Oreochromis niloticus: one gene and its partner. Each later gene encodes a partner of the first gene's protein in a complex. Links are inferred from orthologs where the notes say so. Each region holds a gene or a part of one and is shown in the gene's direction. Other genes may lie near its edges. The genes, in order: chchd6a and MICOS complex subunit MIC26.

Region 1 (7,239 bases):
GTAGCATTAAATATTAGGAAGGGGGATTATTATGTCTATATATATATATGTATATATATATATATGTATTTTTTTTTAATTGATAACCTACAAAATGTGGCCACATCTGGTTCAGCTGAGCATGCACAAAAGTGAAAGTAGTGCTCAGCCAGGGCTTGTATACTGATGAATAAAATATTCAAGTTATACAAATGCATGATTCATGCTATAAAAATATGTGAGGGAACTTACTGTTGAGAAATGCCAAAACCTGAAAATCCTGTAATATAATTTTGGAACAATGTTTAAAAGACTGTGCTCTATGCATATGGGACACAGACATGGGAACCTAACTTGTTTCACATATAAATTAAGGGCTTGGCACCTCAGTGACTCACTGCCATTTTCGGGGAGTGGTGAAGATCTGGTATGCAAAACAAATCTGTCTGATGGGAATAACCTGATGACCTTTGGCAGAGTCGTGCTATACATACACTGTAAAAGTACAAAGTCAGAATGTAAAAATTAATATTTTGGACAAGAAAATGATCAAATGTTGATGGAACATGATCATATATTACTTAACATTACAGACATTTACAGTACTACATATATGTATATATAGATCTGTATTCTCTACTTGTTTTCTGAAAGCCACTTACGAGAAAAGGCCATCCAGTTTTTCCAGATCTGAAATCTTTTATGCTTATACACAATAGAAAGAATCCTGTTGTGTGAAACACAGAAGATCTTAAAACATATTATATGTGTGTTTGCAGGTCATTTCTAGTAGACTGCAGCTGACAGAGGGACTCCTGCAGAAGACAGCAGAGGATCAGGGAGCCTCTGAAGCTGTAGGAGACAAAATGGTCAGCAAGGCTGTGACAGTCATGGACAGCATAGGTGCTCTGGTGGACAGGTAACCTGCTGCACATTTGCTGCTAGTAACACTGCCTTAAAAAGTAGCATGTGGTGTAATTAAGGAAATGTTCATGCACAGTACGTTTTCAAACAGCAAGATGACAAATGATATTGGCTTAAAAAAGGTGTGGAAAACCCAGACTGCATATTTCAGAGGTGGTAGAACAGTGTTCCTTCCGGACCTTCTCTCTGACAAGCGAATTTACAGGATGCGCTTCATATTTTCAGCAGCAAATAAAAATACAGACCAAAACGCAGGCCCCTCAAAGAATGTAGCATGCATGTATGTAATGAATGCAGTTTATCTGCATTTTAAGCCTACCAGTGTCTGTTTTGTGGGATAGATTCAAGGGTGTTTATAACACCCTAATACTTCAGTAAGTTCATTTATTAACCACTTTACACAGATTTGAAGCACTGTCCACATAAAAAAGGACATTAAGTACAATAATAGTCAATAAAAAGCAATGAAATAAACAGGCAATCAATAACATTCTCAACAGAGAGATAAATAATCTGAAGCCTGGCCTTTTAGTACTCTGCATGTAAATATGAGGATTTTAAAATAAATCCTTAAATCTACTGAGAGTAAAGAGTACAAAAGGCTAGTTTTCTACTTTAAGTTCAAGAAAACATTCAAGAAAGTATATCTTTGGAAGTGAGGCAGTAAGACTGAAATGTAGAGCTCAGTCACATTAGTGAGGCTGTGTGTGAGCTAGTTGCACTTTAAGCTAAATAAAAATATTGAGCATGCATAGCAGGAATTTTCCCGGGGCTTAGGGACTCTTGGGGGAGTTTATTATGTCATATGTTGTCAGTCTGAATAAATATATGGAAGTTCGTGCTGAGGGTTGGAACTTTCTGGAAGTTCAGGAACTTCTGGGTGTGCCTCTGAGCACATTGCTTATCATTTAAGTAGCCTGCCAGCAGCATTTCAGCCAGTTTCATCTCACAGACATTTTCTCAGTACCAGGTATTTACTGAAAGAACAAAAACAAAACAAAACAAAAAACTCACATACATCATTAGATTCTATCTGTTTAGCTCTTTTGTTTGATTTTTTTTTAAATGATCTAGCTAGCTGGCTAACCTTATCTAATTAGCACAGATTAAAACTTAGACTGGTGAATATTTTCTGAGCTTTGTGAGTATTTCTCATTGTATGGATGCATGTACAACTCTAAAGCAGACACAGTGATGAATCGATCCACCTGATTCTGTCTAGTAACATTGCGATAATAAAAGGAATAAAACTGACCAGTCCTCTTCACTTGTGTGCTGTGCTGTGATACAGGTACAGGGATCGCCTGCTTTCGCTGTTGGAGGAGGAGAGAGGACAGCGCCGCAAAAGCTGGCAGCTAGGTATGAGTGCACTTGAGGAGCAGCAGCAGCAGCTGATGGAGGCCCAAAAGAGCGCCACAGAGGTCCTCAATGAGACAGACACATGCATCTTTATACACAGGTACAGAAATCTGCCCTGCTATTACAATTAAAAAGAAGAAATACATAGAACAATGTACAAATGACAAGAAAGTGGAAATGATGCAGTATTCTTACTGATAAACTGACACTTCTCTGTTTATTACCCATGGCATATGGCTAGATGAGTGGGGTAAGTAACAATAAATCTTTGCTCTCCAGGTTCATGCAGATTGAACAAAAGCTGAGAGATGTTGTCACCAGTGCCATTCCCTCCTACATCCCCTCAAAGACTCCACTCAATACAATGCTCCTGCAGGGAGGCCTCAAAACCCAAGACTTCTGCACAGAAATGACTCGCCTCATGGATTCTCTTCATATCCTCCTCAACCCACTGGAACTCACCTTCAGCATCTACACCGCCCACCCCAACCTGCTGGTGTCCAACGATCTGCGCACAGTCAAATACAGTTCCAACAAGCAGTCGTACCCGGAGCACCCCGAGCGTTTCACGAGCACACCTCAGATCCTGTGCAGCCAGGGTTTCTCTGGCGGCGAGCACGTATGGGTTGTAGAAGTGGGACCCAATAGCATGTGGTCACTGGGTGTGTGCTACAAGAGCATCCCTCGCCGTGGTGACCACAGCCGTCTGGGGCACAACACTGTGTCCTGGAGGCTGCAGTGGAAAAATGGCAAGCTGACAGTGTGCCAGTGCTCCTCGAATGTGGTCCTTAAGGAAGTGACCACACCACCGGTCAAGATTGAGGTCACACTGGACTATGAGGGGGGAACTTTGACGTTCCACAGCACCAAAGGGCGCAGGGAGCACCTCCACACCTTAAAGGCTGTGTTTAAAGAGCCTGTTTACCCGGCGTTCGGTATACATTCAAACACACCAGACTCCTGGATCACACTGAGCAGTGGGATGTGAATACGTCCTGCATAGAAATTGCTTTGTTAGTCAGCCAAGTGAACTGCCTTCCAGCTAACACAAAAACCAACAATGTGTCTGCTGCCTGGCATTGCTGCATCGTATACATTTAGCATTACAATCACATGAGATTGTTTACAAAAATTTGTTGTTCATACTTAGGGTGTTTTAATAGAGTAGATTTATCAATGCAGGCGCCTATTACCTTTGTGAGATCTTGAGGCATAAACATTTATGTCACAAGATCATGTTTTCATTTTGTGTGTTTTGTAAATGTTATTGTAACGTGTTGAATGTTGTGTTTGTCCCCCATACAGTAAACACTGGTGTGCGCAGACGCTGACATTTAGGGACAAACTGAGACATGTTTTGTGTTTATTCTACAAATAAACTTATCTGGCAATGTTTCTGTGCGTCTTGTGACCAACTTTGTCTCAATACTTATACAGGTGCATAGAAATAATCTATGCCGTATATAGCCTTTGATTGGCTGTTGATATTTCAGCCATTCAAGTATGACCCTGGAGTTGCCAGGTGTGCCTGTAAATCCTTGATTTAAAAAAAAAAAAAGCGATTAAGCAATTTGCATTTGATATGACTTTCCCCAGAACACACATCTAATAATTTCTTATTAACAATTTCGTTTTCACACGCAATTTTATCATTTCTTGCCAACGCACGATCTGACCTTTACACATGTGCAAGAGGAGGATGGTTCACGAAGAACCTGGCAACCCATCCCATCTGTCTCACATTCTGTCATTGGGCAGGACAGCAACATTATTTCATATTATAAACATTTTTCTCACCACGAAAGCTGTGCGTTTGCAGCAGAAGCATGGGTTCGGGAGAGAGTACAACAAGAAAAGTGTCCTTCGGTGTCGACGATGAGGACAGGGTCAGAATTCTCCGTGGAGTCAAGGTAATGCTAATTTAGCTAGCACTTGAGAAGCCATGCTAGCATTACTTTAATGTGTCGCTTAGCACTGACTGGCTATTGTCAAATTAAGTTGTTGCTTTGTTCAAGCTATCAGTCTACGACCGGTAGAGTGTCACTGCTAAAATGAGGAGGTGCAAAGGGACGCAGAGGGTGGGATAGGTTGCTGAAAGAGCTGAAATACGTAAATCTTTTTGTTACCCCAAACTCCATTGGTAATAAGGTGAAAATAGTAATGTTCCTTGTTCACAAGTAAAGGAATACATTAGGGAGATGGTCTAAGAAATATAGAAAACTTTAGGACCTTAAGGTAAATTCGGCATATACATTGCCCACCTAGCAGGAAAACTAATTACCCGAAATTAAACATTTTAGCTGTCACCTACTCGCTGGCATTTGCTAACAACGTTAACGCGATAAAACGTTTAGTTTGCATTAAAGAGCATTAAAGAACGCTGTTATCCTACTGGAACATGTCAGCTGCACAGTAAGTGTGTATCGAAAAAACGGGGAGAATCGTATAAATGTCATAACTGCCTGATATGTTGTTTTAACTAACCATATGTGTAATTAGAAGTGGATGGCTTTAAATGAGCAAATTTCAAACGAGGTTTGGTATGGAGTTGACGCCTCTTTAGTGTTGCTTTCACGTGCTGTTGGACATATGTTTTTAACTTTAGCTTATACTTTTAGAACATCTAAGAGTAGAGCGAGTTAGTGTATGTAAGTGAAACCAGTGAAACACTAATGCAGTTGCATATATAACTAAATTGTCGTCTTCTAAAACAGGAAACGATAATATACAAAACAACAATTAGAAATGATTTTGAACAGGATATAGGCATGTCTAGTTTTGCTGAGCTTTCGGTCATCTGTCAAGCGCTGACAACATCAGTTAGATAATCATACACCACCATGTTTATTTCGTTTCTGAACTCGTTTGTGGAGATTCTTGCATTGTCATAATGATGCTGATGTGTACTCGTTTCACCTTTAGCCTGTTGGCGTGTGTGATTAAGTGGCAAATTAAAATTCTTAAGTTATTCTTCTTGCATGCACACACATACAGAAAATCAGCTGGTGTGGGTGTGTGCCTCCAAATATCCTAACATTATGAGGAAAAACAACCACTGGAAAATGAAGCATGTCAAAAATTAATATGTTGTGGTGGAATGCAATGACATGCAATGGCTGTGAGCAGTTTTGTAAGTTGACCAGTTTTTATGTAGTGCTTTTCTACTCTGAGCACCCAAAGTGCTTTTAAAATGTCTGTAAGAAAAGAGCCTGCCTTGGTTGCACATTCAGTGTGACTCATAGAAACAGTGAGTCAGTGCTCCCTTCTGTGGTTTTTGGGGTAGTAGTGCTTAAGGACTTCCCTGGATACACAAAGACACACACACACACACACACACACACATACAGATACACAAACACTAGAGGTTCAGTGATCCTCTATTAATGGCATGTTTTTCTTGTTTGTTTGTTTTTTATCTGAAGGATTACACAAATGTTGTTTTCTCTTAAATAAATAACACACGTCATGTATATGATATGATTTGTGGTTGACTCTGTTTGTCCAGCTGTCAGAAGATGTTCTGCAAAGAATGAGAGGAGTTGCCAACATTGCCCCAGAACGCACGTCATCACCTGCCTCAAGCCCTCAGACAAACACAGGTAGTGATCATTTTTGAGATTAAATTTTATTGATGCCTCCGCCATTATCGAGTTTGCTTACAGACCAGTTTGTTTTAATTATTCCCCTTTTGATTTCTGACAGTTTATTCTCTCTGTATTTGTGGGGGTAGGTTTCACGGAGTCTCAGCATTAACAGTTTTATTATCTCTCAGTGTGAACACACTGACTGAAACTCAGGTGTAAAACAAAAAGCCTCACCCGCTGTGAATTTGGCATCATTGTTCTGCCATGTGCAATTGCGAGTACAATGTGCCAACATCGTGTGAGAACTTGATAAACTTTGACACATACAATTCGAATGGAGTAGACAATTTGGAACTGGTTCTCGATTCTCATCTGTAAACGCACGTATCACCTCAGCTGATAGTGTTTAACCTCACGAGAAAATACTTCTTTTAGAAAAAAACGTGTTGCCTCAGCTTTTTAACTGGAAACCTGTGTCAGAATAAACTGAGAGCGTGAAATGATTTTGGCAGCCAGGGAAAAGATGTGGTGTCCTCCTTTGAAGAAGAAAAAAAAAGTCACTACTTTCTTTCTTTGGTGGAATTTAATTTACTGAAATTGACTGTTGCTTTTCAAGTAGTCAAAATTTGCAAGAAAATTTATAGAGTTTTACACTTCTTTTAAGATAAGATAACACATATTCACTGTCAACTAAATGTCTGACCTAAAGTAAATTTTGAGCTACAGTTCATACAAACTATATATGTATATATATAAATGTAAACTTCAACTATGTTTGATTATATAGCATTAATTATACATGTGCATTTGTCCCTATTTTGACAGTAAAGCTGTAAGCCACAAAAGTGCCAGTGTTGTTGTTACCTTGTGTGATAGTTTTGTCCTTTGAACATTTGTTGTCTTTGTTCAGCCTCCTCTCACAGTGCCAGCTCAGGCTCTCAATCTCAGCAAGGCCCACAGCAGCGCGCCCCACCCAGTTCTCAGCACAGCAAATCGGCCTCCTTTAGCAAAGAAGATCAGAGGAGGTGGGTTAAAGGAAATTCAGGATACAGATTTGAGTTAAGCTGATTTCTGCCTGGTGACCATTTGTATGCATTGCAAATAGAATTGTTGCATATCAGAGCAAAAGGTTTTTTGTGATTTGTTATAAATCACAAGGTTGTGTTGCTGTTTGCGTTGGAAAGAAAACAAAAAATATGGATGGTGTGCCACATTTTTTTTGAAGGCTCAATCAAAAAAACTAAAATGAGCTGTAACAGGATAATATGCAACACTGTGAAGGTTTCAGAAATATGATCTGACGCTTATCATTTCAGAGAGCCTTTAAATCAAGAGCTTCTTCTAAAAGAGTCCTTACTAATTTAACCTGCAGGGCATCATGCATGGTTTCACA
Region 2 (6,750 bases), on another chromosome or scaffold:
CTTCAGGCAGCACTGAGCTCTGGGTACTCCTGTATGGAGTTTGCATGTTCAAAACTCTTCCCACAGCCCAAAGACATTAATGAGGAAAGATTCATTGGTAATTCTAAATTCTCCTAGGTGGGACTGTGACTGTGAATCTTTTTTCAGTCACTATATATTAGCCCTGCTGGTATAGGCTCCAGTCCAGTGAAAAGTTGTATAAAATGGCCTCAAAAGACCTGAATTCAAAGATTAATTAAGCTGTTTACCACATTAAGATGTGTACACCATGGAAGTCAGTAATAACAGCTACATTAAGTTGTTGTATTGCAATATGCACCATGAATGGTAAATGTTATGCAGATAAAAGATTGCTTAAAAATAGATAGTTGCAGGTATCATGTTCAGTGTTCCTCAAAATAAGGGTTTCCCCAACCTTACACACAGTACGCTTGCATAATGGTGAGCAAAGGCTGAATACATCTGTACATGTTGTATGTTTTTTGTTTATTTTTATCAAATTTGCAAAAAATTCAAAGTAATTTTTTTCATGTTGTCATTGTAGGGTATTGGGTGTAGAAATTTCAGGCGAAAAATGAAAATAATCAATTTTGGAGTCAAGTATTTATTAGAAATCCACAATTTAACAGTCATAGAGGCTGTGATGACACAAACAATAGCTTAAACTCACAAAATTCATGAAAAAATTCATGTTTTTGCTGATTATTTCCCAATTCCTTTCTGGTTTTAATCCTTAATGTGTCAGTTTGTATAATGGTAATTGCTGCTAAGTCATCCTTTTTCATTGCATATTGATAAAATCCATAGGACGCTTCATTAGTAGAGTCACCTCCAGTTCCTCCCTCTCACTGAAGAACTGGGCCTTGCTCTCATTTTTGTGGACCGGATCAGGGAGATGGAGCCCCAGTTTGCTGAAAACAGATGGAAAGGCAGGTTACAAAAAACAAGTAGCACTCAGGGGGGGATGATATACTGAAAGACATTAAGAGTTGTGTGATAAAGCAATCAAAGCTCAGATCTTGGCATGCATAAGCCTCTAAGTCTTCAGGGAATTAAAAATGAAAGCTTACATTTTCAAAGGATCTCTTACTATTTTGGCGTCCGTAGATCAAGGAACTTTTCTTTCACATCCAGCACCACATCTGTTGCTTTAGTGTCTGGTAGTTTGATTTTAACCTACACGTGAGGGAAAAGTTAGCATCTTTATTATTCTACACTGTTCACATTAATATGTTGTTAGTTGTTTCCTGCTTTGAATATAACTTCTACTTCTACTTCCACTTTTTAAAGGTTAACACACATTACACGTGAAACATCCCAGTTTGAGACCTGAAACAGCTAGTGTACTATGTTGATTTCAAAGCAGGATAAATGGTTGCATCATGAAGGGCATCCAGCATAAAATGTGTGCCAAATCAAATATGTGGATCTGCTGTGGAGATCCTTCCAGTAGTTGAAAGTACCTAAATAGTTGCTGTAATTATTGTGCCATATCGGTGATTATTCCAGAATCAAGCATCTTACTATGACCAATCTAAAAGAGTGAATGGATGTAATCTCAATATTTATAAGTGTTTTAACACAAAGTATTTTAAATACAGACTCCAATTATTATTTATTGGAAATATTTTTACATATGTTTTAATGCATGCTCAATAATACAGGTGAGGAAATCCCAGAAAGTTGATTCTTTTCATTTGGATTTCAGTAGGAGAAACACTACATCACCCATCCAAGTGACTTTGTTAGTCTCAGCTAAATGCAGGTTTCTCGAACCTTACACACAGTACGCTTGCATAATGACTGAAACTAGCAGCATTGCTTAACAAAGAGCCAGAAGGTCTGTGAATAGTCCTCATGGCCACTGAAGAGTGGTCATGACAATGCGTGTTCTGATCATGAAAGCAATGGTGCTTCCTCTCATTATGCTACTGTATTGTTTATAAGTTTGGGGGAACCTGCTGTCAGCTGAGACTGAAGGAGTAACCCGGGTGAGTGATGAAATGTTTCTCCCACTGAAATCTAGATGAACAAAATCAGCTTTATAAATCTACAAACAAGACTTTTGTTTAGATTTTGTTTAGAAGATTGGAAGTTAAAGACAATGAAAAAAACACCCTGATCTATGATGTCTTCTTTGTAATTTGTTGCTGATCAAAGTATTGTAAGTCAGCAAGTCAGTTCATCTGTATTTTGGAGTGAAAATGATACCAACATACTAAAACACACAATTCCCTTAAATATACATAACATTTCATATTTACACAAAGTAACAGACAAAGACAATCTTAGCAATTTGAGAACATTTTGAAGTATCTGTCAGAGATCAGGTGAACAGTAGAGGAAAGATAAGCACTATTAGAAGCATTTAAATATTTTTTACGTATATAGAGCCTGGTCACTATAGGGTTAACCTGTCTCACCTGTGCTCCTCAACATTTTTAGACTGTTCCTTTCTAAAGTCTAAAACTAACTACGTCTTCAACAGAATTATCTGAAGCCAGCCAACATTTAATAGGAGATTCATGCCTTGCTGCTCTTGATCACAACCTTGTGCATTTCATTTTAGTATCAAAAAAGTGCACTGAGTGAAGTGTTAAGAAATCTTGTGACACTTGGCAAGTTACCAGCATGGCTTCACAACACATGGAGGATGGATCCTTTCTGCTTAATCCCAAGAAGAGATCCTCTGTTCCTACACTTTGCTTCAGGATTATTTCATACCTGCACACAGAGATTATAAATGAAGCAGACACACTAAAACCAAACACAATAAATATCACATTACCAGACATTACCTTGAACAGAAGGAGACTAAACTCAGAAACAGACAGTGTTTGAAGAAGTATGAGGACTCTTTTGAACCTTTAAATATCCACTTTTCATAACGTTTGATGCTTTTTTACATCCACTGTTGGTGTGTGTCTCTTTCTGCATTGCAGTCTTACTCAGGTTGTGGCCTTGGGTCAGTCAGATCATCATACTGTGAGCCTTCGGCCACTTCTTCTTCACACCAGATATCTTTGCTGTTCTTCTTCGTGTATGCGGTTGACACTAATTAAACAGTCACATAAAGAGAGAAAGGCAGATGCAGAAAAAGTATGTATGCTTGAATAAATACTTTTATGGAGTGCTTATAATTGAAAAATAGTACCTTGTTTTTCTTTTTTGGGTGGGGGGCCAATGTGTCCGGGACCCAAGCGTGCATATGCTTTCACATCCTGTTAACATAAACTAATATTAGTGTGGGGGAGACTTGGCTTAATGGTTACTGTAGTTGAAATACAATGATACATATTCTCTCCACTTTATTTTACTCCATATTCCCCCATTGGTCCTCCCTGCCTACACCTGCAGACTAATAAACCTTACACCACTTTTCTAAATACCCTAAAATGTATATTTTATTGAAAAATTATTTTTAAATGTTCATTTTGCTAGTGTTGATTGATTACCCTTGCTATATACATAGGATTAAAATTTTGCTTGTTGAAAAATGTAAAGAGACAACAATTTCCGAGGAAGATACTAAAAGCTAGTGTTAGCAGGGCTTTAACATGGATGCATGTAGATCTTACTTTACACTCCTCATCTTCCTCTTCTTCGTCCTGCTGACTGGACAACAAGGCAGACAGAGCCTGGAGGCTCTGTTCGGAAGATACCCCAAGACAATCCATTCAGAAAAACAAAACAAATAAACAAAAATAAAAATAAAAAGCGCAGCGGACACAAACAAGGAGGAAAAAGCTGCTAAACTATAAGCAACTATAACAAAACAATTATTTTAATTGGTGCTAGTATACTAATTTTAGCAGCTCACGTTTGGATTGTTGACGCTTTCTGTTTCCCTGGAGACGCCAGGCTTTCCTGCTGCCATGGAAACCAGTGACGTCGAACAAATTACGTGGCCAGAGTCACGGTTACGCAGATAGCCGTGAGCTAAGAAGCCTTGCCAGGGAATTTCTAATATAACGATCTCCTCTAGCTCTCTTTTTTTAAAGCAGCTTTGAGAATAATGCATACTGTACTGTATACGAGAAAAACTAGGCACTGAGAAAACAAACAAATAAACAAAAAGAAACAAAGATGGTGGTTTTAAAGACATGTTTTAGGACAGAGTTGTATAAGAATGAACGACTGCTTTATTAATGTAATGTCCCACTGACTATTTGAATTTAACTGAAAGGTAATTCACGTAATGGTTTAAAATAGGTGTCATAATTATGCCTGAATGCGTTAGCAAGATGGCTGCTGGGTGACTTTTATAGGACGCTGTTACAGGCTAAATGCTTGTACTGTAAACAGCTGTTAAAACTGTTTAAAAAGAAACATTGGAGAAAAAAAATAGTGTAAGTGATGCAAATACTAATAATTTAATCCAGTTTAGCCTACCTCAGGTAGCAGACCTTGCCTTAGCTTTGACTTTTACGTGGAATATTTGAGTATCATATTATGAGGGCAGTGGATCAGAACAGCAGATATCCCAGTTAGGCACAGAGGACTTTATTGTAGACTACTAAAATAAAGCAGCCTGCTTAAGTCCTCATTCTAACTTCCTATTTGAAAGTTGTCATTAAAAATATAGTTCGTATAGTGTATTTAGTTTACCCATACCTTCACAATCTACCTTTAACAAGTATGTTATTCCTTTTTTGCAACGTTATTGATAACGAACCCATTCAAACATATCCATGACAGGCAGTCAATTTATGGTGAAACAACGCTTTGTTTTTAAACTGCATATCTTTGGAGTTCCAAATGAAGCATGGTTTGGAGATGTGGGCACAGACATCATTACTATCTGTAAAGAAAGCCTTGTCCTCACAGATATACTTTATTCCTCCTGCCACTGTTGGCGCGCTTTCAAGAGTAGTAAAAGCGTTTGGGTGAGAATCAGAGAGGCGGGGCTATCTGCCTTGTCCCTCCGTGGATACCGTAGTGAATGCATGGCCCGCGGGGATCATGTTGAAGGTGACAGGTAGTGCCATGCCGGGAGCCCTGCGATTTTCACCGTTCACCGTGTTTGCTGCTGCCGGTGACGGCGAGAAGGAACCAGCGGTGGCGGCGGCTTCGTTAAACGTGGACGAACTGTCTCTGTACACCGCTCCCCCGGAGAAGTTTCGGTACGTGGAGCCTAAAGCGGGGCAGCTGGAGGAGCGAGTCGCCACCCTCAGGAAGTTAGCGGAGCCGTACACTGCTTGGTGTCAGGTCACCTATGAGAAAATTAAACCCAAAGTTCAGGGGGTCTTCCAGTTTGGGAACGACGCATACGCCTATGTGAAGAACCCCCCGAAGGACTTCTACCCCCGTGCGGGAGTCATCGGCTTTACCGGAGTCCTTGGCCTGGTTCTTGCCAGAGGCTCCAGGATTAAGAAACTCATCTACCCGACCACTCTCATGACCCTGAGCGCCTCTCTCTACTACCCGGAGAAAGCAGCGGCCATCGCAAAGTCAACCGGAGACTCCGTGTACGACTTGGCCGTGCAGAGCTACGCAGCGGCGGAGAAGATCCTAAACCCCCAGAGCAAAGCTGAGAAGGTCAATAAACCCGAAATGAGCAGCGACTCCGAGACCAAACAGTGATGACCCCGGCGTGACTGCAATAACCGAGCAGTAGCCAATCACACAGCAGCTTTATCCCGATACTGTAAACTGAGCGCTTTCTAGACAGCGTGACTTTTTCATGCCTACACTTTGCACTAAGCTTCACGTGAAACTCAGGCCGGGCAAAGGGAAGGGGGGGATTTGCAACTTGAATGACTTCCTTCCGATTTGAATGTGTATTTATGTAGAGATAAAGCAGTATCTTACATTAAAGTTGTTTTACCGCCTTGATTCTGTGTCCTGTAATGCCACATGCACAAACAAGATGGTCAGCACCAAAGAGAAGAAAACTAATTCAGGATTTTAATAATCAGTCGTTTATTTTAAGTTTTGTTCAATGGGGTGACAAAGACCAAAGTAGGCAAGTCGCATTTGATCTGAAATTGTGTATTAGTTTCAAGTTTTATTTGTCATATACAGGTAACAATTATTATACTCACAGATTTTAAACATATTGTATAAAATAAGTTTTGCTAAAAAGTCATAATCCTACATAAACTCAAAACATTTGTAGTACTAAGTACTCATTAGACCCATTTGCATTATACTGCTCAGTAATGCTCGATATCTCAGCTTTATATTTTAATGCTTTTACAGTAAAAACTTCAAAGTCATTCTAAAGCTTTAAAGTAAATGGTATGGAGTAGAAATGGCTAAAATACTGTTGAGTGGAAGTAGAAAACAGCATGACCCAGAAGTACTTAGAAGCACTAGTTAAAACGACATACACACCCACCATCACATCACCTACTAATTAGTAAAATCTCAGCTTTGAGTTGAACAATTTTGCTATTGCCAGCTTAGGATTTTGAAACTGGATACGCCAAAACAACCAGTGGTTCAGTCTGAAATTAAGTCCATGCTCATTGGTTAGCAACTTGTAAATAAAATGTTATTAGCCAATGAGCATTTCCTGGAAAATCATAATTTCTGACTTCTTGACCAGAACTTAGTAAATTTAATGTTTTATGAAATATAACTAGTGACTGAGCTCACAAATGATCAGGAAAATGTTGATGTTAAAAAGGACTGGAAGGCCGTTAACCTTACAATTCTATATAAACCAAAGTCCTTTTACAGGCATAAGTTCCCACTGCCTGCTGACCTTCAGAAAGAATTAAGGCTTGAGGGGCCTCACACCCTTAA

Evidence for each region.
Region 2: chchd6a (region 1) and MICOS complex subunit MIC26 share a complex: the UniProt entries of both Homo sapiens proteins name them as parts of the mitochondrial contact site and cristae organizing system (MICOS) complex. The link is inferred for Oreochromis niloticus from reciprocal best matches to the Homo sapiens genes CHCHD6 and APOO.

Annotation. Positions count from the first base shown.
Region 1 is NC_031984.2:29,252,432-29,259,670, forward strand, and holds the start of chchd6a (MICOS complex subunit mic25a), read left to right. Parts: upstream 1-3,953; 5' UTR 3,954-4,088; coding exon 4,089-4,172; intron 4,173-5,767; coding exon 5,768-5,861; intron 5,862-6,756; coding exon 6,757-6,871; intron 6,872-7,239. Other genes in the region: E3 ubiquitin/ISG15 ligase TRIM25, read left to right, coding at 759-898, 2,195-2,362, 2,542-3,250. UniProt on the Homo sapiens protein: Component of the MICOS complex, a large protein complex of the mitochondrial inner membrane that plays crucial roles in the maintenance of crista junctions, inner membrane architecture, and formation of contact sites to the outer membrane.
Region 2 is NC_031982.2:27,116,922-27,123,671, forward strand, and holds MICOS complex subunit MIC26, read left to right. Parts: upstream 1-4,875; 5' UTR 4,876-4,962; coding exon 4,963-5,583; 3' UTR 5,584-6,111; downstream 6,112-6,750. Other genes in the region: dnaaf6 (dynein axonemal assembly factor 6), read right to left, coding at 782-911, 1,091-1,176, 2,628-2,724, 2,949-3,054, 3,155-3,221, 3,579-3,647, 3,821-4,105. UniProt on the Homo sapiens protein: Component of the MICOS complex, a large protein complex of the mitochondrial inner membrane that plays crucial roles in the maintenance of crista junctions, inner membrane architecture, and formation of contact sites to the outer membrane.